Yarrowia lipolytica: one gene and its partners. The protein of the gene in region 1 binds, or shares a complex with, the protein of each later gene. Links are inferred from orthologs where the notes say so. Each region holds a gene or a part of one and is shown in the gene's direction. Other genes may lie near its edges. The genes, in order: YALI1_B04470g, YALI1_C25758g and YALI1_B17132g.

Region 1 (10,675 bases):
GTTCCTTTTGCCTACAGCACGATGCCGGGTAACAACATCTCGACTGTGGCTTGATTAGTCCGTGTTCAAGACCACAGATCGGTCAGTCAATCAGCGAGTCCCTCATCACCCGCAGCCGCTTAGTCCATCTTGCTTTTTTGACAGCGGCTGCTAATCGTGCCTTATCTGAACCTTGAATGTGTTAGGGAGGGAGTCATGTGCTAGAGAGGGAGTCATGTGACATATGAGGGAGTCACGTCACAGTTATGGGGGTCATGTGACAGATGTGGGGGTCATGTGACAGCTGTGCAAGTGGTTACGAAACTGTTGATTACTTGTATTGTATTAGTAACGTATGGTCGCGTTAGTTATGGTCGTCGCAGACCTGATAGAAGAGATCTACGGTTAGACAGGGAAAACACCCATGATCCTTACCGTAAGCTGGGTCTTGAGAGAAGAACGTGACGGGAATAGCCAGTTTTTCGACTCGAATTTCGTTCTTCAGGCTGTTACTACGAAAGGCTCTTCTCACATGGCGTGGGATGGTTATGTCATGGGCTTCCTCGTCCATGATTGCTGTCTTTTAAGGGTACAGTAATCCGAATACAACGTCCGTGCAAGTACGAGAACACTGTAGTCATAGTAACGAGAGTAAATGGACTCCTTTAGAGTCATTCTGAGTGTGTGTACAAGCACTGAAATCTCGGATCATTACCACTACTCGTACTTGTACTGAACCGTACATACTGAGTCTCTTGGATAACTCGAAGTTTTCCCGAATGTTGCACAGTGATGCCCATTACGCAGTTTTGTTAAGATATGTTTTTTTTCGTTGGGGTTAGTTATGGGATTTGTTCAGAGAGTTGCTGGCGGTTGATAAAGAAAAGACGATCCGACGACGTCCGTACAATATAGATATGGTACAAGTACACCGCTGTTCTTACACTCGCTTCTCCCCTTTCAAAAATCTTCATTCTTCATGCACGGACTAATCGGACCTTGTACATGTCTGCTTACTCCACATTTTACACTGGCTAATCGGAGCGCCCATGTCGAAAGACATGATTGAGTTTGACACGACGATCTTTGGTGTGATGGAATTAAACCGAAATGGCGAGTGATTCAGACGGTGAAACAGTACACTTTGGATTGGAGATGAGCAAGTGAGACAAAACTTGTGTGTTGTATATTGTACTTGTACAGTATGTACAGGTATCTGACATTCGTGACACTGGTGCTCAATAAATCGCAAGTAAATTCTTCACTATATAGTTGGCTCACGAATGACCCACACAACCTCGGTCCCGACACACCCCGATCGACCCGAGATAGCCCGAAGTTGCCTGGGGTCCCCACACTTTATGCAGTAATAAAGCGTGCGCGCGCGGAAAGGAAATAGGGGGCGAATTGGGACTCAGGGGAATGACAAGTGTGCGTCACGGGTGTGTGGTGTTATTAGCGTGACATTTTTTTTTGGAGTGGACCGTTGGGCCTCGGTTCGGAAAAACTATGCTGATACAAAGTAATGAGCGTTGCGCTAGCCAACACCGATACCAGCAAGTACACTGGGAAGCCCATGGATGCTGTAGGTTAAAGGCGGCAAATAAACAGTGTCCATACAGTATTGAGGCCACATTTTGACAAAAAGCACGGTGCGCAGCAACGCTACATTGGTGGTTGCTGTAGCAGTTGCACATGGCGAAGCTCACACTTTTGGCACTCTGACAGCAGGTCCAAGCTTCGAGCTATGACGTCTGGGCTGGCTTTAGGTTGGAAGCTTGTTTTCGTGTCTTTTCTGGTTTTTTCACGCTGATGCAAAAACAGACAGCGACTGGCGAAAAAGCGAACAAGTCACGATAATGAAACGGGCTCTTCGGGACGATCGGCCAATGTGAAAGTGCGCGTGATGAAGGAGGAAACCGTGACCAGACAGTGGTTTCAAACACATTCGCCTCCAATGTAACCCAGACAATGTGACACCCAGACGCCACTCAACAACTCAACGTGAAGAGTCCGTGTAGCCTCCACACCACACACACTGTCCATAACATATACCTTCCATAAACTTCCATTATACAATGTACGAGGTACAATATGTACTCAAAGTTGTGGAATTCGCGTTTTGCAGTTTTTTGATTTCCGAGATTTGCAGCTTTGGCGGGACAGCCGCACTCGTGCACCCCAAGCTTCCTATGCGCCTTTCTCTCTGCCTCTCTCTGGCGCTCGTTAGGCCGACACCGCTGCGTCCTTATCTCCGTCTCTCTGGACTCTGATACGCCATCTGCACATCCAGAGGTAAGAAGTGTGTGTCTACCCGTGGGTATACAGATACCGAGCCGAGGTAGGGAGAGTAGTCTATGAGGCAGATTGGGGGACGCTATTGCTGCACCTGTAGCTGGTTCAATTGGACCAGGCACATCTTTCTGCACCCATATACCCCTCCTGTCAGCTGTGCCGCCGGCTGCTCTCCTCCTTAGTAAAAGTCGTCAATAGTTGTTTCTTCTCCTCGCTTACCTTCACATGCGTCTTCCATATTCACACTGGTAGATGCAACCAAGAGTTAAAGGTTCATCCCAACGTTGGGGACGGTGGAGTTTATTGAGACAGTAGCAATATAACATGGGAGAGCAGCTGGTGGCGAGCTATGGGGGCTTTTATAGGGAAACAAGGAAGAACCACAGAACCAAGATGATGGATGACGCGAAAAAAAGTTGCTTCCAAAAATCGCATTGCCGCTCTTCATCTTACGCTCTCATATTGCCACTCTCCTGCACCCCACTCTACCTCCGCTAAAGTCCTCGGCTCCAGCACCTTATTCACCATTAGCTTGTATGATATTCGTCGTGTTGGTGGAGTTGTGAAGACGTTGTAGGGCGATATTGGGTCTGGTGAAGAGACGGTAGACCAGCATCGACGGCAGTGGCAACAGAACACCGTCTTCTGGCTCATCTCCACCTCCCCTCCCCCACCCCAACTCGGCCCAACGAAGTGTTTTTCCGAACACGCTTTCAGACGCTGGGCTAAACCCTATTCTCTGGCGGGCGCCTCTGAAAATTACTCAACCAAGATATAAGAGATCGCATCCCCATAACATGAGCGCTCTACTTCGATCGTCCCTGCGTTTTAAACACATGTCCGCCGTCAACCGTCTCACACAACAGCTTCGACTGCTGACCGCCTCCGCGCCTCTCAGCGCAGCCAACACCGCCGGCAAGGCTCCTTTCAAGGTCGCCGTTGTTGGTTCTGGTAACTGGTGAGTAAAAAAAGACAGGAGTTTTCAAGGGATTCAAACGGGGGTTATATAATATAACCCATCGACAACCGCGACATGGATGCTGAAACGAGAGCAACTAGACAAACAAACAAGCACGACACAACACATGGAACAGAGAAACACCACAGACCGCAGATACGGCTTCCTTTGGGTCACCCCCAACAGGAACACATACAGATCATGGTGAAATGGGCAATTCACAGAACTGGATGAGAAGACAGCAACAGAAGACGACAGAAGAAGTTATACAGTTGCACACGGCTACACTGACACGACACGCACCTCCTCTGCACTGCTTAACTCTACGAGTTTAATGAAGTGTTCGATGGGGAGTTTAGTGGAGTGGCGACAGTGGCAATGCGAGGTCTTCTGGAAGCATTTAAAAGTGTGAGAGCAATTCTAAGAGTCTCAAGAAGTACTCTATTTGCCTTCTCTTCAAGCCCCTCCTCCACCTTGAGCCCAGTCTGCTGTGAATGCCGTTATATGTCATCTGTCAGTCATTCAGCGCATTCGGCGTTGCCCCGTTTGTGACCTTTGGCCACTCACCTCCGCTTACCATACTAACATCAGGGGAACCACCGTCGCCAAGATTGTCGCCGAGAACTGCACTGCTCACCCCGAGCTCTTTGAGCCCGAGGTTCGAGTCTGGGTTCGAGAAGAGAAGGTCAACGGCAAGAACCTGACCGACATTTTCAACGCTGAGCACGAGAACGTGCGATACCTCCCTAAAATCAAACTTCCTCACAACCTGATCGCCGAGCCGGATCTGCTCAAGGCCGTCGAGGGTGCCAACATCATCGTCTTCAACCTGCCCCATCAGTTCCTGGCTGGTGTCTGCAAGCAGCTCAAGGGCCACGTCAACCCCAAGGCTAGAGCCATCTCCTGCCTCAAGGGTCTAGATGTCACCCCCCAGGGTGTTTACCTGCTCTCCGACGTTATCGAGAACGAGACCGGTCTCCACTGCGGTGTTCTGTCCGGGGCTAACCTCGCCACCGAGATCGCTCTGGAGAAGTACTCCGAGACTACCGTTGCTTACAACCGACCCAAGGACTTCTTTGGCGAGGGTGATGTGACCAACGATGTGCTCAAGGCTCTGTTCCACCGACCCTACTTCCATGTGCGATGCGTTCAGGACGTCGCCGGTGTCTCCATCGGAGGTGCCCTTAAGAACGTTGTTGCCCTTTGCGCCGGTTTCGTCGAGGGCAAGAACTGGGGAGACAACGCCAAGGCCGCAATTATGCGACGAGGCATGCTTGAGATGATCAACTTCTCCAAGCGATTCTTCCCCGAAACTGATATTAACACTCTTACAGTCGAGTCTGCCGGTGTGGCCGATCTCATCACCTCGTGCGCTGGAGGCCGAAACTTCAAGGTCGGCCGAGCATTCGGAAAGGAGAGCGGCTCCGGCAAGACCATCCAGGACGTGGAGAAGGAGCTTCTCAACGGCCAGTCCGCCCAGGGCGTCATCACATGCAACGAGGTCCACGAGCTGCTCAAGAACAAGAACATGCAGAAGGACTTCCCTCTGTTCGAGTCCACCTGGGGCATTATCCACGGTGAGCTCAAGATTGATGATCTCCCCGAGATTCTTTACCACGCCAACTAGATAGATAGACTGTATTTTATTGCATATGAAAAAGAAGGAAAAGTCTGCGAGCGTAGCGGATGTAGATGTATCGTGATATCACGAAATTTCAGGTTATGTTCTTCTTGTTATGTGATGCTGTACACCTTATTTCATTTTACTTAGGAATGATAACTAACATGGCTGTTTCTTAGACATGTCAACTACTCAGCCCAGCAAGCCCACCATTCAGACATACCACACACATCCACAGAAGCAATTGCATGCCCCATCCACATGAAACATTGCTATCCCCAATATCCCCTCATATCTGTTGAGTCCCAAATACTCAATGCTCCCTTAGGCCGGTTGAGTGGGGCATCAACAGCCGCTCGCCCCGCACTCATACTATATGTACGGTAAAGGAGCACATGGCCCCACAATACGGGTATGTTTAGGAGGGAAATGGCATATTGGGGAGGATTATTATATTACTTGATATGAAAACCAACGGTGACTGCGATCACACGGCTGGAAAGAACTGCAATATGGCTCGATAAGATAGCAATCTATCTTTTTGAAGAGTCGTTCGCCTTACTGTAGTGGCGATTTAGGGTGGTCCTTGTTTGAAAGACTTGTGTCTCTGCTGTACAAGTAAAAGTACAGTATCTGTACTGCAGCTACAGTAGCTGTCTAGAGCCCACACCGAATGGATTTCAGTGTCAGTGACAAGTATACAGTATGCACACAACTCCATAGTGCGACAGTTGAGCGTTTAATTGAAAGCAAATTGGGAATATTGAACAACAAATACCCCCACTGTATGTACACTCCCCCACTGTATGCAAGATTGCACACATTGCCTCGTATCTTAACTCGTATTGGTGCATCTGACCTTATAGTCATACCCATCAGACTACAGGATAGCCTTCGTACGAGGCATCAACTTGGCCTCCTATCCATGAACTATAGAAAAAACATCACGCCTCCGTCTTGTCCACTTGTCCACTTGTCCACTTGTCCACACGGTCCATAAAGATTATAATGCAATAACTATACTTGTACCTCCTTTTATGTTCACATCCCTTCCATTGTCTTTTCAACATACCGCACTGGTCTGTTACATGTGCATCTTCTTGTCCTTGGGCTGAGCAGGCTCGTTCTGGGGAATCTGGGTCTTCAGGAACGCCTGAAGCGACGCAAACGGACTGGCCTGATACTCCTTGGAGTTGAGGATCTTGTTGAACCGCTTGGTCTCGGCCTTGATGATGGCCTCGTTACCTCGAGCATTCCGGGGATTAGGGGTATGATCCAGCTTTTCTCGTGTTCGGCCTCCGTTCTCGGCCTTGAGAGGGTCCAGAAGATCGTCGAGGTTGGCTGCAAGCGTCTCGGTCTCTCGAATTCGCTGACGTCGAGCTTCCTGTCTCTGTTGTCGCTTGATTTCCTTAGCCGTGGCACCATCAGCCATGATGGCATCAATGTCAGCAGGTGGCAAAGGAGTGCCCTTGTTCACCGAAGTCACCCCCTGGGAAACAGGTCGCATGGCAGCCTCGTTTTTCAGAGGGTTTCCGTAGTCGAACGGTCGATCATGAATGGGCTTCTTTCGTTTCAAATCAGCCTTGCTGATGCCTCCTCGCTTGGACAGCTTTGTGTGGTGTCGTTCTCGCTTGGCAGCAGCCTTGTCCTTCTTGGTGGCCTTGGCCTTGTATAGGAACTGTGTGTTTCCCTCGTTCTGTGTTAGATGGAGCTGTACAGCGTCTGGATGTCGTCTCTACTCACCATTCCGTTAGTTGTGTGCTTTGATTTTACCCAGTATCAATTTCGCCCCATGCAAATATCGAATCTTTTCAAATAAGATTTACCAGTACCTCCCACCTGCACTGGGTTACCCGGAGTACATGTACAGCAAATGACCCAATGTTAGTGGAACCATGGTATTAAAAGAACTCCACTCTACTACACAACACATACACACAATGTCCCTTCAGATGCTGAGAAGCCGGGTTGCACTTGCCCGACCTACCCTCGTGCGACCCTCAGTTGGTCAGATGACCAAGCGATTCGCCGGAACCGCCCCCGTTCCCCTCACTTGGGAGCGATTCCTGCTTCTGCGAACCCGAAGACGACAGATCAACTTTGTGGCCTCCATTTTCACCGGTGTGGCCACCTCTGTTCTTGCATGGGGTTTCATTTCCGAGGCCGAGCTGGATCTCGAGCAGCAGGACGTCTTCTTCGGTCTGGATGCCTTCACCGCGGCTGGATTGGGTGTGGTGGCAGCTGGATTTATGGGCTCTCTCCTGGGCCCCACCATCGGCCAGCTCATCTTCAAGGCCACCAACTCCAAGCAGTGGCCCGCCTTCCTCATGAAGGAGACCGACTTCCTGTCGCACATCCAGAAAAACCGAGTGAACCCTCGATACCAGTCCGTCTCCAACCCCGTGCCCGACTACTACGGCGAGAAGATCGGCTCTCTCAAGGACTACCGACGATGGCTGCGTGACTGCGCCAAGTACAACCGTGCCCGAGAGGTCTAAATGTATATAGTAAACAATGATCTGAAATGGAGTGTAGTATGTACACATGGAGCGTGCATGGAGGGCAATATGAGAGCAATTGCTGGACTATGCCATTATAGTGGCAATTGAGTATGAAACGAAGAGATAGGTGCAATAGAACAAATGTGTTGTAATGGCCATGTACTGAAAGCACCCAAGTTCCTCAAATCACCCAAGTTCCTCCACATGTCTCGAATCAGAAGTCAATCTAACATCGGAAGTCAATCTAAGAAGTCAATCTATGACCACAAATAGATAACAAGTACAGCCCCAATGGCAAGACTACTGTACATACTTGTAGTATACGCGTGTTAATCTATATTTCCAAGTTGTACATGCTATGACTGTGTGTTAAACTCACTCACTTGCTCTCAAGCAAATAATCCAACATGCCAACTATATCCTTGTTGTTCTTCATCATCTCCTGATACTCATTGCTATCATCATCCCAGCCAAGGTACCGAGCCTTGTTATCTCTCTCCTGCTTGAGCACCTCTTTGTCCACCTCAATATCCTGACCCTCTACTTTCATCCATGCAAATATCGTGTCCAGAACCACCACCAGCCTGCTTCCTAGCATCTCCATGTCAGTCACGATCTCCTCAGTGTCCTCCTCATTGGCCAATGCACTCTCCAGTGCGGGAATCATGGTATCTACAGCCTGTTGTGTGTCATCTCTGAGCTCCTTAAGCTCATCCAACTTAGCCTTGTCCATCTTGGCTATCACTCTGACTCGTTCAGGCGAATCCGAAGGCAAAAGACGCAGCAGAGAAGCATATATGGCCCACAGAAACTCCCCATATTCACTATAGGTCTTGTAATGCTTGTTCTTGCCTGCCTTGAGAGCCTTGAACAAAACACCCAAACCCTTGGCTTGCACAAACACTGTAGCCAACTCCGTGGAATCATAAGAGTTCAGAGCAGCCTTGATAATACGAGCAGCATGCTTCTTGATCCACTTGCCCTCTCCTCCCATGAGCCTCACCATGGCATCCACACCCTCAACTTCAGCGAAAGCTGCTCGTCCGGAAGGACTGGTGAGAATATATGCGAGGATACCAGCTATCGATCCAGCCAGTTCCTCCTCGTCCCCCTTGGTGGGATCTTTATCAACGTAGGCCATCAGGTATTTGATAAGTGCTTCCACTCGTTCAGCAGACACTCCGGTTCGATACTCGTACTTGGTGAGCCAAGTAAGACAGTAATCAGCCATGGTTGATCTATCATGCAAAAGTAGGGGTGATTTCTTGTCGGCGAGAAGATCCAGAAACTTGGGGAAGATGTGCGTTCGTAGCTGTGGGGTGATATCGTCCTCAACAAACATAACGTCTCCCATGTCGAGAATATACTGGATCTGTGTAGGATCAATCCTGACGATTTTGTCGGTCAGTTCCATGATGTAATCGATGAAGTCGTCGTTAGACCATAGAGACCTAGTGAGGGCATCGGGATCAGCGAAATCGTTGGTGCGAGTGATGAGCTCGTGGAAGATCTCACAGGTGATGAGTGCAATGTCGAGGTTGGGATGGTCCAGAAGCTGCATCAAAGACACATGACATTCAAAGTCGGACACAAATCGTTTGTAGACAGTTATAAAGTCGTCATCATCTGTGGTAGTAAGCACACTGAGAGCTCGAATGGCCTTCTCAAGCTCCACTTCAGAGTCCATGAACTTCAGAGGTTCATTAGCAAACAATTCTCGTTTCTCCGTGTTTGAAGTAATAGCACGTTCGAGGTCAAGAACAAGACCCTTCAGCCAGTCAGCCTCCTGGGGGCCATCTTTGTGTTCGTCTACCAACTTCTGGATTGCAAATCGTTCCTCAATGTGTTCATCTTCAATTTGGGGCGACTTTGGCAATGATGCCTCCTCCTCGGGCTGTGCGTCGTCATCCGTCTTGCGTCGCTTAGCGCCGTCGAAACCAGCGTTTTCAAACACACTGTCGATTGAAGCCATGGTTGAGATTGTAGATGGTTGGTCTGCGCGTTGAGTTTCACGCACTATATTTGAAAGTTGTGCATGAAGGTGCATTCGAGAAAATCGGTGGGGAGTCCTAAGTCGATACTTGTACGAGCACTTGCAGTAATATATTGAAGAGAATAAAGAGGAATGTGGTAATGTAGTACTTGAGGTTAACACTTCAAATATGACACGTTTTTCTCTTCTGACTTCTCTGAAGCATTGCTTTGATGGACTCTATACGCACAGGTTATGATCTCAAGCTCAAGTTGAGGAAGAATTAACTAAACGTGCCACTTGAGTTATATACTTCTGTTTCATTTTTAGTTGAAGGTGGCGCTGGAATAAGACCTTCATTAACAGACCCAATAAGTTGTGAAATATCAAACTTGCCGAGTAGAAAAAAGGTAGTTCCTCAGGGTCTAGAATATGGAAGTTGTCAAGTTTCAGCTTCCCAGAGCCTCTGAAATACGCTCGTCTCGCCTCCCTTCACACCACCGCATCACATCCGCCGTGCATAATCACCGTTATTTTTTATTTAGATTCAATCACCTTCGCATCACATCATCATCATGGCGAAAAAGGCGGAAAACAAGAAGGAAAAGAAGGCGGCTGAAGCCAAGCCATCGGCGGAGGACGCCAAGGCCGCCCGTCTGGCACGGCTCAGTGCCATCAGACAGAAAATGAACGATTCATCGACGTCCAACAGAAAAGCACTTTTCGAAGAGGACAAGGACCTCAAGGTGAACAAGCGGGCGGATGCGCTACTGGAGCGGAAACAGCAGGAGGCTGAGTTTGAGCTGGAAAAACTGCAGGCCGAGGAGCGTGGAGAGGACTTTGATAGAAAACGAGCATGGGACTGGACAGTCAAGGAGACGGAGGAATGGAAGGAGAAGAAGGAGCGCAAGCGAGAACGTGAAAGCCAAAGTGGTGTCCACGACATGTCTTCGACCGCGCAGAGAGCATACGAGAAAGATCTGGCCAGTTTTAAGCCCGATCTGGAGACATACGAGAAGGAAAAGGAGACTGGCTTACATCATACGCCGTCTTTCAACCATAAACCCACACCTGAGGCTCTGGATCGACTCGTGAACGGACTCACCAAGGGCGACAAGCAGCGAATGAAGCGACGGAAGCAGGCAGGAGCCGACGATCAGCATGCAACGTACATCTCCGACAAGAACAAGCAGTTCAACGAGAAGCTCAACCGACAGTACGACAAGTACACCAAGGAGATCAGAGACAACTTTGAGCGAGGAACAGCCTTGTAAGCTGCGGCTAGTGGCCCATTATTTATTGATCAATACAGTAATACAGTGTATAAGAGACGGTCTAGGTATTGTAGT
Region 2 (11,063 bases), on another chromosome or scaffold:
TCGTCTGCCAAGCCAGTTATCTCTACAGAACATCCAGCCTGGAGCTATCATGAGAGAGGAGGGTGACTCATTGTGTGGTACTGATTAGAGCCGTGTGAGCCTAGCCAAGTCGGGTACTGAGACATTGTGAGGCCCCAGCAGGAGCCGTGTGTTCCTTGCTTCTGTGCACACGCTCAAAGGCCGATGTGCCAATCGCCAAAGGCCGATTATTGCCCTGGTGCGTCCTTGTTCAACGCACGGCTTTGACGTCTCTAAATTAAGCATGATGCTAATGTACGACAATACAACCAAGACAGGTGTGGATGTGTGTCACGTAGACCGAGTTTCCCCTTTTGACGCAGTACTACTTCGAATTCTCCTTTTCTCGACGCCCGTCAAACCCATCTGGCAGCCATTTTTCACGTTGCTGTTCCTAGATCGATAATCGGGACGTTTGCCTAAGCTGTGTCAAAAGTCGAGCAAATATCTCAGAGACTCGCACGAGAGTGGCTTTCTCCTTATCTTGGCCAAGACCAGAAGACACGGTCGGTTGGTGTGTGAAGGATACGATGATTGCACACTTTTCCATATCTGGAGGGTTGGAGCCGTGCGTCTTGGCGTTATCAGACAGCAGAAATGCAGGGTGGGCCAATAGAAGGGCGTACGGAGGACCATACGGTTGGCGGCGGGTGCAAAAACCGAGTCGAAAATCGCCAAAAGAAACCTTTGCCCGGTATCCATTCGTTTCCACACGTTTCCACTTGTTTTTAGCGGTTTCTACAGACTTTGGGCCCTCTTCATCACCGTCCTTATAGGGCCAAAAAATTATGTGAAGCTAAGTTTCAGATCGAGAAGTGACGGTAACTGACCATGATCTAGGTTCCTACTTGGCTTGGTACATTCCTGTAAGTAGAGCATGAGGGCATGAGGGGTAGCTATTTTATGGGAGAAAAAAAAGCCTGAGAGAGGCGGAGTGATTGCAGAGAGTGCAACAAGCCCGGCTATACAAAAATAACGCGAGAAAACCTCGTAAATAAAGCCATTTTCTCCCCCCAAACACCGCTGGTAACTCCCTCACGTGCTAATATCTCAACTCCCGCAGATGTCATGCGCCGGCCCCTCCACACTTGTTGTTGCGAACGTCACAACCATCTCTCTTGGCACAGCGCCGTGTCATGCGAAAAGTAAGGGTCAAGAGGCATAATCTGCATTTGCCGGAGGAGCACAATGGCAGAGTGCCATTCCCTGGACGCGCCCATGGCTTAGCAGGCCATATACATATAGACCGGGGTGCCGGAGGATCAGACTCCATACCGCTTCTGGAAGAACAAGACGAGTCTCTGGCTGGACCTTCCCACGATCCCATAGACGACTCTTTTTCTATAAGCGCAGAGGACCCGTACAACAGCTACCACAGCACTCCGTCTGACTTCCTCAATAACTACAACGACTACCCCGACGAGCCCGGCATCCCACTACTACCAATGGAGAAAGACCACACCCACGAAAAGGGCCACTCGGATGAGCACGTCATCATCGACACCGCCGAGGTGCTCGAAGACACGTGCTTCTACGTGGCTTACAAGCTCGGCATTGCCACCGTTGACGACGAACCCTTCCCGGAGTCCGTTTCCTACATTGCCCTCAAGGTTGACGAGATGGGCGATGAAGAGGCGCTAGCCATCCTCAAACGCCACGTGGAGTACCACAAGGACGACCGAAACATCCCCGAGTCGTCCATGCTGCTCTGGCGGTCGCTGATCCGCCATTCTGAAGAGTATGCCCAAGGAAACATCTCCGAGTCTGGAGAAGCTAATCCCTCTCTTTCGGCCAAGAAGAACACTGAGTCCACAGTCGACAGAGTGGCCACCCGAGCGACCTACGAAGACGGATCTGCCGATCTCGACCCCGCTAACATGTCTCCCAACGAACTGAGCCTGGCTATTCGATACCATGCTGCCATTTTCCACTACTGGTCTCCCTACATCGAGGTACGATCAGTCACAGACCCCTTTGACGACCCCAACCTGCCTGTGGAGACCATCCGAGCGTACCTGGCTGGAATTATCTGGCTCATTGTTGGTGCTGGAGTCAACCAGTTTTTCTCTGTGCGAATGCCTGCCATTTCCATCTCTACCATGGTCTGCCAGCTGCTGCTCTACCCCACTGGCAAGGCACTGGAGTATATTCTGCCCGATAAGGGCTTCACATTCCGTGGTACCCGACACTCGCTCAACCCTGGGCCCTGGAACAACAAAGAACAGATGCTGGCCACCATGTTCATCTCCGTCGCCATCGGAGGCACCTACATCACCTCCTACAACCTGTTTGTGCAGATTCTGCCCATGTACTACGGAGTCGACTACGCCCGACAGTTTGGTTACACTCTGACCCTGACTCTTGCGTCGCAGTTTATGGGTTTTGGTTTTGCGGGTCTGCTCCGAAAGTTTGTCGTCTACCCTACCAAGGCCATGTGGCCAACTCTGATGCCCACTCTGGCTCTCAACCGAGCCCTGCTGGTCAAGCAGAAGCGAGAGAAGGTGCACTCCTGGACCATTTCGCCCTACAAGTTCTTCTTTGTTGTTGTCGCATGCGCGTTTGTCTACTTCTGGTTCCCCAGCTATATTTTCCAGGCTCTGTCAACCTTCAACTGGATCACCTGGATTGCTCCTGACAACCTCAACATCAACATCGTCACTGGTGCTCAGGGTATGGGTGTCAACCCCTGGCCTACCTTTGATACCAACAACATGTTTGCGCTGTTTGATCCTTTGGTTCTGCCACAGTTCACCGTTCTTAACACATACGCTGGAATGATCCTTGGTGCCTCTGTTATCCTCGGACTCTACTACACTAACACCAAGGGCACTGCTCACCTGCCCATCAACTCCAACCGAATCTTTGACAACACTGGAAAGTCATACAATGTTTCTCGAGTGCTTACTGATGGAACCTTTGATGACACCAAGTACCGAACCTACTCGCCCCCCTTCTACACTGCTGCTAACCTCATGGTATACTCCAGTTTCTTCGCCATTTACACTCTTGGTTTTGTCTACATTGGCCTATCCGAGTGGTTTACCATGGTCGAGTCTTTCCGAGATGTGAAGCAGGCCTTCATCGACATCTTCATGACCACGAAGTTCTACATCATGCGAATAACCAACCGCAAGGCCACCCGACACGATATGGACAGTTCCCAGTTCACCAACCGACAGGACGAGCCCTTCTCACGAATGATTGCTGCCTACCCCGAGGTCCAGAACTGGGTCTTTATTGGTCTCCTGGTGGTATCTTTTGTCCTGGCGGTCATTGCCATTCGAGTGTGGCCCACAGACACTCCCATCTGGGGTCTCTTCTTCTGCCTGGGTATCAACCTCGTCTTCCTGATTCCCTTGACTCTCATTCTTGCATACACTGGATTCGGATTCGGTCTCAACGTGCTCGTCCAGCTCATTGTTGGTTACGCTCTCCCAGGTCATCCTCAGGCCATGATGATCCTTAAGGCCATTGGCTACCAGGTTGATGGACAGGCCCAAAACTTCATCACCGACCAAAAGGTGTCTTACTACACTCACATGCCCCCACGAGCTTTGATGCGATCTCAACTCATTGGTACTCTGGTTGGAGCATTTGTTTGTCTCGGTGTGCTCTACTACCAGCTTGAGATTGAAGGTATCTGCACTCCCGAGCAGGCCACCACAACCAAGTTCACCTGTGTGTCTCAGAACACCTTCTTCTCGGCCTCTGTCATCTGGGGAGCTCTCGGTCCAGCCAAGATGTTCCAGATCTACCCTGCCATGAAGTACATGTTTCTGCTTGGTGCCGTCGTTGGTCTCATCTTCTGGGCCGTGCAGTACCCTCTGCCCACTTTTCTGGCCAAGAAGTTCCCCCAGCACCGAGAGCGAATTCTGTCTTTGCAGTCTACCCTGAAATTGTTCAACCCCGTCATCTTTGTTGGCGGTGTTCTCAACTTTGCTCCTTACAACCTGTCCTATGCTACTGGCGGTCTGTACGTCTCCTTGCTCTTTTCCTGGATCAAGCGACGATATTCTGCCTGGTGGCGTAAGTACACCTACGTTCTTGATGCTGGTCTCATCACCGGAATTGCATTCTCGGCCATCATCATCTTCTTTGCAGTCCAATACAAGGGAGTGGAGCTCGAGTGGTGGGGAAACACTGTGTCTTACGACAACCTGGACTTTAAGGGTGCCATTCTGAAACCCCTGGCCGCTGGAGAGACCTTTGGTCCTTCGCCTGAGAACTTCCCTTAGTTTATTTTATTTAATTGATATGACCTGAACATGACTGTTAGTAGTTGTATGAGTGCATAGGGCTGACAGATGATCAGCATACTGTAAATGACACCTGGAGCAGTGACATTTCATTGGAGCTGGATCTCGAGCTGAAGAACGTGCAACTACAGACAACCAGAACGACTATCTGTTGTAGTTGTATGTTTTTGTGGTCAGATACAAATCCTCTAATCACACACACTCCAAGCTATTCGATTCAATTCGATATCTCTTGTGCCATACTGGGGCGATATGTAACCGTAGACGTCTAGCTCTTAGGTGGAGGGGTTGCAGTGCACTGAAGTGGGCGGTGAATTTTTTTCCAAACATCGGACAGTATTTGAGATGGATGCTGTTGATCGATCTCCATAAAAATTATATCATTACACTCCCCACGATCGAGAGAACAAGATAAGCCATCAACAATGCAAATCCAACAATTATTCACCCTGAAATTCTTTATCCTTTCCCGGATACATCGTCTCCGAGATGCGGCTCGCATTTGGGTCGGACAAAATATCATGTTTTCATGCGGCTGGAAAATCCAATGAGGAATACTGGAGAAGGGTTTGTCGGTTTTGGGCCAGATAACAGGGTCTGATATCAGTGCAAAAGATCCGTGTGTATCCGGAAGATGCCTTTCGACGCTCCAGATGCATGTGTTTTATTCTATCTCGTTCGGACAGGGCAATTGGCATGTCCACTTTTCAACTTGATCTGAGGAGACTGTTCACTGTGGAGGGAAACAGTGCCCTGATGAGTTAACTACCAGTGAATCCCTCTCTGCAAATGTCATCTGTCTTATCAGTGCTTGTGTCACCGCAAACATTAGTCTGTGCTGAAACATCGGTACTCGTCAGTACTCGCTCTCGTAGTACTCGCTCTCGTCAATACGGGTACCGTACTCGCACTTGTATCATAAGTACAAGTATGTACTATCTTCCGATCGCTCCATTTTTGCGGGGAAGATAGCTACCCCAAATCTCCGTGCATTCCTTTTCCTGTATTCGATATCTGGCCAGGATCGGGATTGGCCGCGAAGAGCCATGCAGTGCCGGAAGACTATGTACCAGTTGCAGACTAGCGAGACATGACTTTGCTACCACAACCCCTTGAAGTAGATAGTCTTCCCTGTGAGAGACCTTTCCTGAGAGAATGGTTTGAGTCGTTCTTTCACAGCCTTGATGTGACGTTCTGCCGCTCCGTCAGCTTCGGGATGGCCCACATTTGCTATTCGAAATGACACTCTCGGCCATTTCTGGAACCAACTGTTCTGAAACAGTGGGTCTTGGTCGGACACAATGCTGATCTGTTGATTGTCATTGATCCTGTCCCCGCGATGCACATCGTTGTCATGTTTTCGCTTGTGCGGTTGTGGAGCAGGGTGGGTACATCCTTCTTTCACCCAGACAACAGGTTATTCACTGATCAGTATGATGCGATGATAACACTCTTTTTCAGATAGCTTCGAGTGTTGCAATTGAAGTTCCGTCCTTGTCTATCTCAGGGACTGACCAGAGCTATGACGGTACACTTCAATTACGGCAATGGCGGCAACTATGAACCTCACAATCATAATTGGCGAGATGGTACGTGAGTCTCAACTAACACACTTATCATCAACACCACTAGACTACACATCGCCATCCAACGACAAATACGCAAAGCTCAAAAATCCAACCAATCAAACAGTCGCCGATTGCAACGCCAAACATAGCGTGGTTTCACAACTTTTTCCCACCACCCCCGCGGAAGATTTCGCGTGTCTAGCCGCACTCTGTTTTACAGCTTTTGGCATGACCATGCATGATCTCATCACCATCTCATCTGGAGCATGTGGTGTAGAGGGCGGCTATGGACGATATAGTCGCATATTTTGCATATTTTGGATCCAGACAGAGACAATTGCGGGCATTAGTCACTCGCACGCTGACTAACCCATCGATTCAGGCCACACGAATGTGACGCCTTTCCCCAGCGGTGGCAATTGTTCCGCCCCTTTCTCCGGGTTGGTCACGTGGTCTGCGGTGCAAGTCTAAGTGAGGGGGGGGGGGAAATGAAGGAGAAATTGGTCATGGGTCTCGGTAGTAGTCAATTCACGTGCTTTCGCGGCCTAAGACATATGCCTGAGACAGGGCAACCCATTGTTGCTGGTTCGCACGCCTTGCTTAACTTATGACGCCTGACCTTGAGCCAACCGCTGTCAGATGGATTCTCCCAACTCCTACTCCAACCTTCGCTAAGCTTCCACTTCAAGGGCAACTGTGGGTTCAAAGTTAATTTTGGGGAATTGAATTTTCCATTCTTCGAGACTAACAACACCTCTTCATCCTCCCCCAAACACCGCCCGAAATACACACACAAAATGATCTCTCGAATTGCCCGTGTCCAGCGGTCGGCCGCCGTCCGATCCACCGTCCGATCCGCCATGCGACCCGCCACCGTGGCCCCCATGGCCTCCTTCAACCTCCGATCCCGATTTTACTCCGACAAGGCTGAAACCAAGGCTGAGGACCCTGAGGCCGCTGCTGAGGCTGCTGGTCCCGCGGCCAACGCCGCCGACGCCTCCGCTTCTGGTGCGTCCGCTGCCGAGACCAAGACCGCCCCCACCGCCGAGGAGTACGAGGCTCTGCTGGCCAAGTTCGAGAAGAAGGACAAGGAGTGCGCCCAGTTCAAGGAGCACTACCAGCGAGCCATCACCGACTTCCGACACCTGCAGGAGACCACCAAGCGAGAAATCAAGAAGGCACACGACTTTGCCCTGGCCAAGTTCGCCAAAGACCTGCTGGACTCGGTCGACAACTTTGATCGAGCCCTGGGCGTTGTCCCCGACGAGATCAAGAACGACCGAGAGAACAACAAGGAGATCATGAACTTCTACGACGGCATCAAGATGACCCAGGATATCTTCGAGAAGACTCTGGGTAAGCACGGCATGAAGAAGCTCGAGCCCGTCGGCGAGGTCTTCGACCCCAACATGCATGAGGCCGTCTTCGAGGCCCCCCAGCCCGACAAGGAGGCCGGCACCGTCTTCTTTGTCCAGCAGACCGGCTTCACTCTTAACGACCGAATTCTGCGAGCCGCCAAGGTCGGAGTTGTTAAGGGCGAGTAATTCCACCACAAATTATCCAATATGTATATAGTAATGAGTAATGTTTCAGAAAATGTCACCTGTAGATAAAATCAATACCCAAAAAGGTGATCGGATGATGAGTTGTACTAAAGATTCAGATTCTAAGGACTCAATGGCCTTATTCAACATCAATTGTTCATACATGCTCGCAAAACGTGATAAAACATGGATCGTTTACTATTTACATATACATTTACAAGCACTTGTACTTGTACTTGTACTTGTGCGTGACACTGTTCGGCACACTATCGTACTATCTCAGCTTAACGCCGTATCGGTCAACAAGCATCTCCTTGAAAGCGTCGAGCATCTGGTTGATTTCCTGGTTCTCGAGATTTCGCTCCATGGACTGGAAATTGATTCGGTAGCACTGCGAGGTCAGACCGGTCTTGGGGTTGGTGAAGGTATCGGTGAGAGCCACGTTCTCGACCAGATCGCCGGCGGTGGCTCGGATTAGCTCCATGATGTCGTTCTCGTGGATGGAGTCCAGAGCAGCGCCCTCGGGCAGCCAGAAGGCCACATCTCGGTCGGTGCCGGGGTACTTGGACCAGGATTTGAAAGCGGTGATCTCGTTAGGCTTGAACTGCGACAGGAATCGCTGGTCAAGAGACCAGAAGAGTCGAATATCGGGGATACCGAACAGAATCATGGCCAGGCGCTCCAGACCAAGACCAAAGGCCCAGCCGAAATGGGTGTGCTTGTCAAGACCTGAGGCCGAGTACACGTGATCACGAACAAGACCACATCCGCAGCACTCGAGCCAGTCACCCTTCCACCACACCTCAATCTCCCATGAAGGAGTGGTCCAGGGGAAAGTAGTCTCGACCCATCGAACCTTGAGGGGCTTCTCGAGATCGGGATCAGTAGACCCAGCAACCTTAGCAGCTACCTTGGCACGCTCGAAAATATCTCCAACAAGCAGCTCAATGGACTTCTTGAGATGGGCAGCGACAAGCTCGGTTTCGGTATCAGACATGTAGGGGGACTTGGGGTTCTCGGGGTGCGAAACCTGGTCGACGTCCTCGACAATGAGGTTGGTAGCGGGGATTGCGGCCACGTCAGCTCGGAGCTTCTCAATCAGAGCCTCCTCGGAGGGGTAGTCTTCTCGCTTCCAGGTTCGAGCTCCCTCCATCTGATGGAACGCAGGGTAATGAGTTCGGTCAATGGTGTCTCGACGGTAAACGTCGGCAGTGACGAAGAAACCGGGCGTCTTGGTGTGCTGGAAACAGTGGACCTCATGGGCACTAGTGTGAGTTCGAAGAAGGGTGTCGTGGTTGATATAGTAGGTGTCAGTCTTGGCTCGTCCCGGATGGTCCTCGGGGAATCCGAGCTGGTCAAAGTTCTCGTGTTTGCTGACGACTGGATGAAAGTTGTTGTAGGCAGTGTAGCCCATACCCTCGAATCGCTTCTCAATGATAGATCGGATGATTCCAACAGGATGGGAGTCCTGAAGGTGCAGGTTTCGACCAATCAGAGACGAGATGGTCGGTGTGATGTTGGTCCATTCGTCAACAGCATGCTTCTTGCCGTCCACCAGAGTCGATTGGTGTCGAATAGCGCCCCGAAAAGAGGTCAACAGACGTCGTGACATGGTTGTGCGCGTGGTTGGAGGAGTGATACAACCTGCAGGAATATTGACGAGTTTTAAGTTCGGCTACATGATGGGAGAAATCTCGAGCGGGTTACTGGGGGGAGCGTTTGAAGCTGATAGTGACGAACTTTCCATTGCTGATTTGTCACTGTGCGATTTGGAACTGATTAGCCCTTTTATATTCTCATAAATACTCCTGGAACGTGTATTATTGAACAGGTATGAGATTTTTCGTATGCATATTCAAGTCGACTTATTTGAGTTCAGAATGTTCAACCTGAGAACCGAGCGGAGAGGCACTATGCCTCGTGTTTTTGGCTGCAATTTTTGGCTGACTAATCTTAAATTTGCAACATCTTCACTTTATTGACGATTTTGTAATGATTCTTTTCTCAATCACTTGTACTTGAAAGGTCACATACGCCTATTGCTCGGTTCTCCAACCATACTAAACCATGTTCCAGAGTCAAGTAAAAAGTGCATCTCGGATCATTTTCTTAGTTGTGAACTGAGCACCGCGTTGTGCAACTAGGGAGATGTATATTTAATTATTTTGCTGAAAAATCCTATACATACCCCGTATGACAATGTACTGATCTCTTTTTTCTTTCTTCTTCGAGTATTGTTCTGATCATTTCATCGCTTCCATAATCACAGGATTCCTGCACCTACAGTAATCCACCTGCAGCACTTTCAGATCTCTCCAGACCACCACACTATGTTTACGAGGACGCTGAGGGCGCTACGGCCTCTGTCAGCCGTGCAGCCGCTGAAGATGGCGAGTCGCCATTACTCGGCAAAAAACACAACCAAGAAGATCAGAAATATCGGAATCATCGCTCATATCGATGCAGGAAAAACCACCACCACGGAACGAATCCTGTACCTGTCTGGCACCATCAAGCACCTCGGAAATGTCGATGAGGGAGACACCACGATGGATTTCCTGCCTGCTGAGCGGGAGCGGGGTATCACCATTGCCTCGGCCGCCACCAGTTTCAACTGGAACAACCATACCGTCAATCTGATCGATACTCCGGGGCACGCTGATTTCACCTTTGAGGTGATCCGATCAATTCGTGTGCTGGACGGAGCTGTTTGTATTCTCGACGGAGTGGCTGGAGTTGAGGCACAAACCGAAAAGGTGTGGAAACAGGCCTCGGAGATGGGCATTCCCAAAATTGCATTTGTCAACAAGATGGATCGAGCTGGAGCTGGCTTTGGACGTACTGTCAAGGAGATTGTGAGCAAGTTGAGAACACGTGTCGCGCTTCTGACCGTTCCCGTGTTTTCCAAGTCGTCAGATCAGGTGTTTGAGGGCGTTGTTGACATTTTGAACGGATGTGTCATCACATGGACTACTGGAGGAGACGGAAAACAGACTGTGGTTGTTCCTGTTTCCGAAGCGTCCGCCGAGGTGCAGGAAGAGTATCAAAAGGCCCGTACTGCACTGGTTGAAACGCTCACTGAACTCGATGAAGAGCTGGTTGAAAAGTTTCTGGAATCTGAAGATTACATGCAAATCACTACTGAAGACATTAAACGGGCCCTGAGAACCGCCACCATCAACAACGACATTGTTCCAGTTCTGTGCGGTGCATCTTTTCGAAACATTGGCGTCCAGCCCCTCATGGATGCAGTTGTCGACTTCCTCCCTTCTCCGGCAGAACGTCCTCCTACTGACGCTTTAATTGCCAAGTCGTACACTGGAGGTAAGAAGTCCAAGGTCATTCCGGAACGGGCCATCACTCTCGACGATTCGATGAAGAACCTGTGCTGTGCTCTGTGTTTCAAGGTTGTCCAGGATCCCCAAAAGGGCACACTTGTCTACGTGAGAGTATACAAGGGCGAGTTGAAGCAGAACAGTGTCCTATACAACACTACATCTGGAACCAAGGACCGTGTTTCTCGTCTGCTCAAGGTTCATGCTGATACCACCTCAGAGGTCACGTCTATCACTGAGGGTAACATTGGAGTCATTTTGGGTTCCCAGGGACTCGCTACTGGTGATACCATTGTCTGCCACAGTATCAAGAAGGACGGTGTAATGAAACTTCCCCCGGAT
Region 3 (10,706 bases), about 1.3 Mb from region 1:
ATAAAACCGAACAGGATTCCCATGTTTCGCCACAGATGAGCATTGTAGTACTGGTACGCGAGACCCAGAAATCGGTCGCCGTTGACCGACGATTCGGCAGGTACAGAGCCAACAACGGAACACGACTTGTACTGGAGATCAATCTGGTCGTATTCTCCTCCCGTAGGGACGTATGAAGCACACCCGTAGTCTCGATTTCGGAACTCGTTCACCATTACAGCCTCGAATCCATAAGCGACTGGGTTCAACCAGTTGATCCACCGAGCCCATCCGTGCATGTAAGTGATGGGAAGCGAGAAACCAGTGTAAATGACAAGCGCCAAGATGATGACTGATGCAGGAGCTAAGGCTTGCTCGAGAGTTTTGGTGATGGCAGCCATGCACCGGAAGATCATGGACATCGCAAGTGTACACAGAAGCGAGAAGAGGAAGAAGATGAAAAATGGACCTGGTTCACGTCTCAGGTACGTCATGAAGTACAGAGTCAGATTGACAGCCAGGAGCGTAAGGATTTTAGTAGGGAATGTGGTCAGAATGGACGCCAAGGCTTCAGTAAATGGATGGTATAATGCATACCGCGTTTGTTTCTCCACAATCGGACGTTGTTCGTAAAGCGATAAAATTTCCAGGACCGAAGAGAAGGCGTTGAGCAGAATAGCGAAAAAGAGAAGAGCTCCTCGAGAGAAAAATGTGTCTGTGGTCTGCTGCATGTTATAGAACATGGAAGACAGAACCAGGGCCATGATGAAGTTTCCAACCACAATGGAAATATCTGTTGACATGTCTCCTTTGATACGCAGAAAGCCACGCCAGAGACACAATCTGGTCTGCATGGGCCATGATATCGTATACGGAGACTTGACACGAGTGTGTCTAGCCTGTGACTCCTTTCGCAGCTCCATGAAGTGATCCTGAGACTCTCCACCCAGCTGGAACTCGGTGTTAAACTCCTCAATCTCTTGTAGGAGCTTCTGACGAGCCTGTGACTCCATCCAGCACTTTTCGAAGTCGTCAGGAGTTCGAGGCACCTTGTTCTCCCACCCGGGCTGAATTATTCGCTCAATGGGGTTGGTTAGCGACGTGAGGAAATCACCCGTAGTCTGACGGTCTGCACACTCGAAGCCAAGATCAAGGAAAAACTGCTTCGCCTCCTTTGCGAGTCCGAAGTATATTTGTCGTCCCTCGTACAAAACACAGACCTTGTCGAACAAGTCGTACGCCTCTTGAGATGCCTGATAAAGAGAAACAAACATTGAAGAGCCCATCATCTCGGCTGACAGACGAAGAGACCGAATGAACTCGGTGGCATTGGCTGCATCCAGCCCACGTGTACTATTATCCCAGCACTGGAGAGGAGCTCCACAGACGACAGACTCGGCAATAGATACTCGCTTACGCTCTCCTCCAGAGACACCACGCACGAAATCGTTGCCAACTTTGGTATCCATAGTATGCGTGAGACCGAGGGTTGCCATAGTAACGTCTCGCGTATGTTTGGCAAACTGTTCACGTGATACTCCCTCCAGACGATTGTGGGGTGTTCGAGCGAGAGCTGCAAACAAGAGAGTGTCTCCGACTGTCAGATGGGGGAAATGGACATCCACTTCTGCGTTGTAGACGATTTCTCCCCGGGCGTTTTTAGTCATTACCTTTCTTGGGACGCCTATGTTAGTAAAAAATGTCGACAGAGAAAATGTATACTGATGAAAACCTCACAAAGGACTGCGTAAGATGTTCGTACTCACCCTGATAATTCCATTCTGTCTTATCCTCAATGTGAAAGCCATATGTTTCACAAGCCACAGACTTCAGGAATGTCGTACATCCCGATCCTGGTCTTCCTAGTACCACACAGGTCTCTCCTGCTCTCACCAGACCGTCAAAGTGTCTTAGAATCTGCACCTTGGTGCCCTTGTTACCTCCAAACAGCTCCATGATCATCGGGCCAATCGCCAAAACGGAGTTAGAGAAAGTCTTCTGGTACTGCGAGCCACCTCCATAACCATAAGCGGCCAGGTTCTTGAATGACACACCCGCTGTGATATGCTTGGTTGCTCCAAACCGCTGCTTCAATCCCAAAACGGTCTTGATCCATTTACGAGCGTTGAACTCGTCAGATAACGGATCGAGTTGGGGGTCCGAGTTGTCGATGTAAGGATTGACGTCAAGGTTAGGCTGGACAGTGTCGGATCTGAGCAGCTTTTCGTTCCCCACAGTGCCCTTTTCCGTGTCGTAATCGTCGACCCTATCTTTATGGACGGATTCTGCTATTGACCTGATTTCTGCATCAATGGTGGGATCCAGACCAGTGTAATCTGGTGGTGTGCTTTCCATGCTGTTTTTTAGGAAGAGAAGTCGGCTTCTAAAAACAATTGCTTTACAATGACGAGAGGAAAGTGAGAGACTCGTTTGTGGGATTGCTCATCACCTTTAACAGTATGCGTGATTCGACACTGCAGCACCCCATGAAGCTTAACTATAATTGCATATATTTACGCAAGCTGGGGAAAGGTGTTAGAGTGTCATGAATGTCATGAATGTCATCTGGGGGCGTTTTTACTGGTTTAGTCGATTTGTAATGCCTCATAATACTCCCGGATAGTCATTTTACGTGCAATAATGGTCAAAAACGACAAGTGTACATAATCTACTAACCGCGCCTCCACCTGCGCCGTGCAGAACAGTGAAGGTACATTAAAATTAAACACAAAATTCAATGCTGCCGTATGTTTTGAGGAGCGCAAAAGTGCGGAAAAGTCACGTGAGGCGTTTGTGTACGCTCCCAGGGAATTTTTATTACGGGAATGGTTCTATGTCTTGCAATGCGTATAGTAAGTGGCGCCACGTTCAAAGCCGCTCAGCACATTCTCAGCTAGTATATCTCGATACGAGCTGACAACAAGGAACATATTAAGCGAATTTGAATTTAAACGAGCAAAAATGAGCTTAATTGTGAAACAAATCAAACAAGGGACAAGAAACATGGCGAAATTCGGTAAAATTCATAGAGAGGAAGAATCTGATGGGAAACAATATCTGATATAATCTGAAAAAAAAAAAAAAAAAAAAAAAAAAAAAAAACACTACAAGTACAGGCCAATATCCCCTATTTCCTATTCTACGTTGGAGTGCCGTGTATAAAAAGGGTCCAAAGTAGCTTCGTAACCCCAAAAGCATACCCTGCCTGGATAACATGTTACATGCCACTATGACATTTGATGAGGACAAAGACATCACAGACGAGTATAGAATATACATACCGGAGGAATTGTCACGAAGGTCGCGACGGCAAATGATGGTGCATACGGGGGTACTTGAAAAGGTCGAGTGAGATTGAAGATGCTACAGGCCATACGTCTGTGTACATACTGGTGTGGCGATGGGAATTAGGGACTGTGGTCCCATACATGTACCACAGCACAGAGAAGGGATCTATGGTGTTAGAAGATAGCTCATCTGATAATCACATATACAGTATCATATTCTCATACCATGTTGTAACATCAGTTCCCCCAGTGCCTTAGTGCCCATTTTTCTTGATGTAGCTACAGAAATCGATGCTAATATGTACAACACTTGATGTTATCATCAGGATGCCAACTTGTAACGAACTCGACTCTTGCCACTACTTTTATCGCCGGTACCACTAACTGGATGCACCAGAATGGCAATTAGCCTGTGGTTTGGTCACTGGTGTAACTACAATACTCGTGCCTGTAGTTAGACCAAGCTCGTAAATCAATGATACTGTAGCATGTCCATCAACTTATAGTCTACTGTAATAGATTGTGCGCGATCTACAGTGCACTGGTGATATTCTAGTAGCTACACTACAAGCTCTAGCTACCTCTATAAGCTCCAGTACATTCAGCTGTGGTCAACTTACCAAGATCAGGTACATCTTAGATCTCGTACTAAGTCACCGGCTCAGGAAATTGGGACATCTCTTCGTTTATATCGTCCTCACGACTCTCCAGTATGATCAACCCTTTCCCTGCACACACACAAAACTCAACCCCGCTTAATAAGGGCGTTCGGAGATACTGCGGGACAGGTTTTGTGGGGGATTCTAATGACACAAGAAAGAAAACACCGTTCTAGAATGGATGTGGGTATATTTATCAGCTTTAAATAATCAGAGCCAATTAATAGATCCCATAGACACCTATATGATTGCTGGAAAAACCCATTCATTCGCCATCTCTATGTATTAGAGTTTAGGATTGTTATGGGGAGAGATTTTGGGGGTTACTTATACTCAACTAAATTGGGTGTCATTTTGGGTAAAAATTGTTCTGACAGAAACAACACACTTCCAATATATTATCTGTGAAAATTTATTCCAAATAGATCTACTATTAAACGTCTTATGAGCATCCCGAAGTTGAGATCCGCAAAGCTTACCTCATTTTAACCTCGGTATTTAGTTATACTCGATCACTTTACACGGGGACGTGTGATAGCTCCTAAAGGGAAAATGTGGTATCATTATCGTACTCTTCTCGTTTATAGAAGCACACTGGTATGTTCTAAATTCCCTTAGCACACCTACATCGTCCCCCAAAGTCTTCCCTGTGTCTTCTGCATGCTGCCAAAACCAACCACCCAAATTCGAAACTCAAAGTATATTTTGGTGGTGAAAAATTGAGTCTGACATCACCACTCACCACAGCACACTACACAACCATGAGCACTACCCCCGTCCAACCTCTGCAGTCGGAGCCTCTGATGGACTCCGAGACCGGCGTCGCTCCCCAGATCGAGGCCCCCCAGGTCCCCGAGGGCCCCAAGAAGGGCATCGACGAGCAGATTTTCGACTACTTTGCCGAGCACCCTGTCCAGGCCACTGCCGCCACTCTGGTCGGTCTGTATGCTCTGGGCGCTGTTTTCAAGCGTCCTGCTGCCGGCGCTCGAGGCCAGTTCTTCAAGGGCGGGTTTGAGAACAAAATGGGTCCCTCCGAGGCTCTGCAAATTCTGTCTCTTCGAGACGCCGGTCTGACCATGAACAAGCTCAAGGGCCAGCACCGAAAGATCATGTTGCTGAACCATCCCGATCGAGGCGGATCTCCCTACGTTGCCACCAAGATCAACGAGGCTAAGTCTGTTCTTGAGAAGCGGGGAGGACTCAAATAAACAACATGATCGAAGCAAATGTTGTGTGTTACAGGTGTGTTTCCCCTTGTGATGCTGACTCACAACGGCTTTAACCACCAGTAACTGCGGAGCATCATTGCAAAGGGCAATAAGAAGGATGTATATAGGAACGGCGGACGCCAGTACGGTTGTCCGTTGCTAATGAGATTGATGGATTTGAATAGTGTGTAGAAGAGAACATATCATTGTGAGGTCGACACATTTAGTTTGCGTGTAATGGCCCAGGGTGTATTTATTGCAGTCTTTCGAGTCTGCTGTTGTTATAGATTGCGTTTCTGTGCTCGCGAGTATTCTGGAAAGTTCCATGTCACGGATCAGTCTTAGTCAACCAGGCATCAATACCAATATGAACTACCAGAAGCCACCAGTACGGTCTGCATGCGTATTTCATGTTTATATTATCATCTACTTGTCTCCTCTGACACCTGCCATCAGAGAGTTCGAAGCACTCTACGTTTTGGTGAAAATACACACCACATCTTCGTCTCCAATCTTGTGCGAAAGACCACATTTCTGCGGCGAGTGCTTGGCCGACACACCCCACACCAACGCGTACTTGAACTTGTTCTTCATGTCTCTGTGAATAGTGTCACAGACATCCTCGATAGTGTTGTGAGTGGATCTAACCACGGTGGGTTCAGCGAAGTCCGGAAGCTCTCCCTTTCGTTTTGTGTAGATTCGTAGCATGGCGAGGTCGGCCCAGATTCGTTCCGTCAGATCATCGAGACCCAGCTCCATGGATGCAGAAATGACCACGGTGTCAGGCATGTGAGCAAGCCGGTCGACCTCCTCCAGAGACACAGCGTCACACTTGTTGTAGCAGTATAGACACTTGATGTAGGATCTGTGGTCGGCGTGGATCACGTCGATCATATCCTCGACCGTCACGTTTTCATCTCGGATCAGCACGTCGGCGTTGTGGATCTTGTAGTCCTTGAGCAAGTGCATCACCATCTTCTCCGAGAGGTACTTGGGCGGGTTGGTATAAGAAAATTTGACGCCTCCTGTCTTTTTAATCTTGAAATAAATGTTGGGCGGCTCCTTGTTAAGTCGGATGCCCACAGACTCGAGTTCTCGCTCGAGAATAGCACGCTGCTCCTCAGGCTTGGTAGCATCCAGAACCATGAGCACCAGGTCGGCAGTTTTAGCGGTCGAAACAACCTGTCGACCTCGACCCTTACCCTCGGAAGCACCCTGAATAATACCGGGCAGATCGAGAATCTGGATCTCGGCTCCATTGTACTCCAGCACACCAGGAACTGACGTCAGGGTAGTGAAGGCGTAAGCAGCAATCTCCGACTTTGTGTTTGTGATTTTGCCGAGCAGTGACGACTTTCCAACAGAGGGGAAGCCAATAAGAGCCACTCGGGCATGTCCAGACTTGCTGACCTCGAATCCTTCTCCCTTGGAAGTCGAACTTCCAGGAGCAGGCTCCAGAAGCTGTTGTCGATATCGAGCGAGCTTACCCTTGAGCAGACCAACGTGGTACTCGGTTGCCTTGTTTTTCTGCGTCCGAGCCAGCTCCTCCTGGATCTGTGTGATCTTTTCTGTGATTCCGATAGCCATCTTTGGGGAAAAAGAGTTGTGCCGTTGTCGAGATACAGTAGTTGAAATTTAAGAGTAGCTTTTCACCTGCATGTATTAGAGTTACACGTACTGTAGGTGGAAGGCGTAAGGGGAGAGGATGGATAGCAGGTGGTTGTGGTTGTTTTGGGGGGTATACAACTATTAAGGAAGCTGAATTATTCTATAAGGAAACAAAGGTCGATCCTCATTGATAAACTTCTCATTGATACTATTCTGGTCCTCGTAGCGAGAACAGGTCTGATCACATTGTATGTAAGAAAATACAGTCATAAGTGGGAATCGAATCAAAGACACATCTTAGTCATCCTGATACTTGACTTCCTAACTAAACTTCAACAAATACCTCCTGTCGAAATCAAACTTATAGAACTTCCTCAAATTTCAATATAATCCATAATAATAGCCCCATACCCCTTAATTCGGTTTCTTGGTACTTTCCCTCGTTAATTTATAATCTCACCTCTCCCCTACAAGTACGAGTACCAAGTTCCATTGACTACCCACACCACGCCGCTCCGACCCTAACCCCAAAATTCAGCATGCATAACTCCATTACATGTAACACGACACAACGCATCACTCCACGCTACGCACTACAATAGCAATCATGTCTCTGTTTCTCGAAACAGCAAAACTCACAGCCAGTGCGCAAATACACGCTCTTGAGACGCTTCTGGCGAGCTCTCCAGCCTTCTGCGCCTCTCAAAAGGAAGACATTTTGCACATTCTTCTGGTTCTCACTCCAGAATTGCTGGATCCAAAGGAATACATGGGGCTCGTCAACAAGGTGGGAAAGGGGCAATTGGACAAGGGACAAGATACGGGTAGTGTGGTTGGAGATGAGGGATTCATTCCAGAACTCGTGATCAAGTCTCGAGAACAAAAGCTGCTGGCATACCTCGATTCAGTGGTACCCAAACCTGTGCACAACTTTCTGGAGGAACGAATCCGACTCGTGTTCAAGGTATCACATGATACGCAGTTGATGGAGCAGCTGATCCTGCAGAGTGGTTACCACAACAACTCGGAGGAAGTTGATTGGGTGGCAGGCGTACCCCAGGTGCTCATCAACTACACGCGTCTACATGGTATCAACCCTGGGTTGACAATTGATGAGCTGGAGAACGGAGATCCTTCCCACGTGATTGAACTTCTGGGCTCGCATCTGAGAACGCCCTCTGCTGAGGACGACTTGCAGCTTGTGTTGGAGCCTTACGTTGCTTACAAAAACTGCTGGGCTGTCTTCCGAGATTTTGTGAGTCACGTGACACAATCCAATACACCTCTTTTAGCTACTTTGGCGCATAACGTGACTTTCCCCGAGTCCGAGCGAGATGCTTTCATTCAGATCGTGTTGAAGAACTCTTTTGAAGCTAACGATACTCAATGGGATGCTCTTGCTCTGATCACAGAGTCTCCTGCGGTTACTGGAGCTAGTCATTTGACCAGCCATTTCACGAAGCAGCTTGTTGAGACCTGCCGGTTGTTGGAACCTGCTATTCCATCTATCACCCTTCAACGGGCTAATAAGGTGACTACTTCTGGGGAGGAAGTTCAAGTGGATCTTCTGGATGACTTTGTGTTTGCTGAGGACTGGTTAAAGCGTACCTCTGACCAGTGGCAGACCTTCATTACTGCCACAGAGGTTCTCGTGTCGCTGAAGACTGTTTTCAGCACTCTTTCCGATTCCCAGGTTAATCAGAAGGTGTTTGAAGCATTGCTGGGAGCCTCTCAATTTGAAATTGCCAAGACCACGTATATTTTGGGTGGTCTCGTTGATTCCGAGTTTGTTGAAAAGGCCATTCTGGCTCAGTTTTACACTTTCTATGATGCTGCTACCAATGGTAACCACACTCGAGGAAGCATGAAGAGTGCCAAGCTTGTTTTGGGTATGGCTGACACCAATACACGTACCAAACACCAGTTCAAGGTGGCCCAGTGTCTTTTGGAGGCCACAAACACGCTGTCTAACTACTCTCTAACCCTCAAGCCCGGCACTCTGACCCGTCCTGTTGATATTCGCAACCACGATGCTCTTCAGGTGATGGATCGCGTTCTGGATCTCAACCCGGATGCTTACAAGAACTGTCCGAAGCTCATCCACGTGACCAGACAGCTATTGGATGGTCTGGACAAGTCTGAGTCCATCTCGGACGCTGACATCGAGACTCGCATTTACACACAGGCCGTGACCGCTGCTCTGGTTCATGACGATTTCGACACTGCGCAGAAACTGTGTGCCGCCCATGAGTTGCCTTGGACTGCATACTTCCAGGTGGGCAAGTACGTCAGTCCGTCACGTGACATGGACGAGTTAGTGGCCCTCAAACTCGAGACACTGTCCACAGCTCTGGCCAAGTGTCCACCAGAACACCTATCAGCTGTTCTGCATGCTTGGAGAGACGTGGAGGAAATGATGGTGAGCCTGCCTGAGTCACGTGAGTCGGTGGTTCAGCCTTCGGTAGTGTTGGCTGATGTGTCTCGGGAAGCTGGACGTAAAAGAGACCAACTCAGCAGCATGTTGGTCAGTGGTCTGGGATGGGCTATTGGTGCTAACAAGGAGTAGCAGTAAGAACAAGGCAGAGGCTCAAGCTCTGGAAAAGCAGATACACTCAGTATCGGTACATATTGTACAGTAAATAACTTATACATCCTAATTACGACTCAGACTTAGAAGTTCTACTCGCTGTGTATACATCACCCACCGTTCTATGAAATAAATACAAATACATTATCTATCAACTTCCCTCTTCTACCCCACAGCTCTCATGGGCTGGACATTTTCTTGCTGCACCTCATGCGGCTCGTCGTCCTCGTACGTGGTTAGCGTCTTGTAGAACTCCACCACCTTCGGATGGGTCTTCACCTTCTCAGGTAGGAAGTTGAGAACCTGGAGTCCCTCCTTGGACGTGGCTCGACTGAGTGCCACGTATGCCTGGCCTCTCTCAAATGTCTTGGCCAGGTCCACTTTGACATACTGGAGAGTCTGACCCTGGGCTTTATGGATTGACAAGGCCCAGGCCAGAATCAATGGGATCTGTGTTCGAGAAGCGAGCACTTCTCCTTCAATGTTCTCTACGGAAAACGTCTCTGGATGAAGTAGCACGTTTCGGAAGGTGTGATCCATGCGTCTGAAACGCACCACGGGGTAGACAGCCCCGTTCATTGCGGCCAAGTTTGTCTTGGCCAGGTCCTCCAGCTGCTTTCGACGTTCTAGCTTGCGTTTAAGAAATGTTGCGTTATCGGCGTCCTCGGGAAAAGCCTTGAGACGCTCAAACACACAGTCTGAGTCTCCTTGAGCAGGAGACGAGAAGAAAGCCGACTCTTCAGACGCCTGGGAAGACTCCCCAACAACTTTACCTGTCTCGATGAGCTGGTTCAATTGATTCAGCTCAGATTCGTTGGAAACATCGTAGATGTTGGGCCGCTTTGAAGGCTTCTCTCGAATAATATCGAGGTCGGCAGCGTTCTCAGCTGCGATGAAGTTGTGAGGAGACATGAACCCGACAACCACACCAATGGATCCGTTGACGAGGTTGGGGTCCATGTTCTTCAGCATCATAACCTGGGCACCGGCTTTGAGAGTCAGCTTCTTGGGTACCATGATGTTCTCTAGCAACTTGTCTCTAAACTCCCGCTCGGCAGATCCGGTTTCCAGAGCATCGAACGTGTGAGTCTTGCCCCCTAGAGTGGACAACTTGGAGAAGTTGGACCGGTCGACTTCACGACGGGTAGGGAACAGCTCTGTGGGAATGATACCATCTGGGACTGATAGGGGACGAGAGAGAGACAGAAAGCCGTCGAGAGAAGCTTGGTCTAGCGACTGGGTACGGAGTTGATTCAACATATTGGCAAAGACAGGATCCTTCTGTCGGAACACTTTGGTCAACAGAAAAGTGCTGTCGATTACCGTGGACCAAGATTCGGCCTCGAACGCGAAAAGAGCTTCGGGATCGCTGTTGACA

Evidence for each region.
Region 2: YALI1_B04470g (region 1) and YALI1_C25758g share a complex: the UniProt entries of both Saccharomyces cerevisiae proteins name them as parts of the PAM complex. The link is inferred for Yarrowia lipolytica from reciprocal best matches to the Saccharomyces cerevisiae genes PAM17 and MGE1.
Region 3: YALI1_B04470g (region 1) and YALI1_B17132g share a complex: the UniProt entries of both Saccharomyces cerevisiae proteins name them as parts of the PAM complex. The link is inferred for Yarrowia lipolytica from reciprocal best matches to the Saccharomyces cerevisiae genes PAM17 and PAM18.

What each region holds. Positions count from the first base shown.
Region 1 is NC_090771.1:440,311-450,985, forward strand, and holds YALI1_B04470g (uncharacterized protein), read left to right. Parts: upstream 1-6,748; coding exon 6,749-7,351; downstream 7,352-10,675. Other genes in the region: YALI1_B04433g (uncharacterized protein), read left to right, coding at 3,072-3,232, 3,824-4,859; YALI1_B04466g (uncharacterized protein), read right to left, coding at 5,938-6,360; YALI1_B04497g (uncharacterized protein), read right to left, coding at 7,734-9,401; YALI1_B04502g (uncharacterized protein), read left to right, coding at 9,902-10,600. UniProt on the Saccharomyces cerevisiae protein: Component of the PAM complex, a complex required for the translocation of transit peptide-containing proteins from the inner membrane into the mitochondrial matrix in an ATP-dependent manner.
Region 2 is NC_090772.1:2,569,244-2,580,306, forward strand, and holds YALI1_C25758g (uncharacterized protein), read left to right. Parts: upstream 1-6,639; coding exon 6,640-7,386; downstream 7,387-11,063. Other genes in the region: YALI1_C25703g (uncharacterized protein), read left to right, coding at 1,155-4,253; YALI1_C25742g (uncharacterized protein), read right to left, coding at 4,802-4,977, 5,022-5,121; YALI1_C25747g (uncharacterized protein), read right to left, coding at 5,210-5,474, 5,521-5,630; YALI1_C25782g (uncharacterized protein), read right to left, coding at 7,661-8,998; YALI1_C25789g (uncharacterized protein), read left to right, coding at 9,717-11,063. UniProt on the Saccharomyces cerevisiae protein: Essential component of the PAM complex, a complex required for the translocation of transit peptide-containing proteins from the inner membrane into the mitochondrial matrix in an ATP-dependent manner.
Region 3 is NC_090771.1:1,707,227-1,717,932, reverse strand, and holds YALI1_B17132g (uncharacterized protein), read left to right. Parts: upstream 1-4,686; coding exon 4,687-5,133; downstream 5,134-10,706. Other genes in the region: YALI1_B17155g (uncharacterized protein), read right to left, coding at 1-1,663, 1,746-2,334; YALI1_B17112g (uncharacterized protein), read right to left, coding at 5,605-6,720; YALI1_B17105g (uncharacterized protein), read left to right, coding at 7,349-9,307; YALI1_B17050g (uncharacterized protein), read right to left, coding at 9,494-10,706. UniProt on the Saccharomyces cerevisiae protein: Essential component of the PAM complex, a complex required for the translocation of transit peptide-containing proteins from the inner membrane into the mitochondrial matrix in an ATP-dependent manner.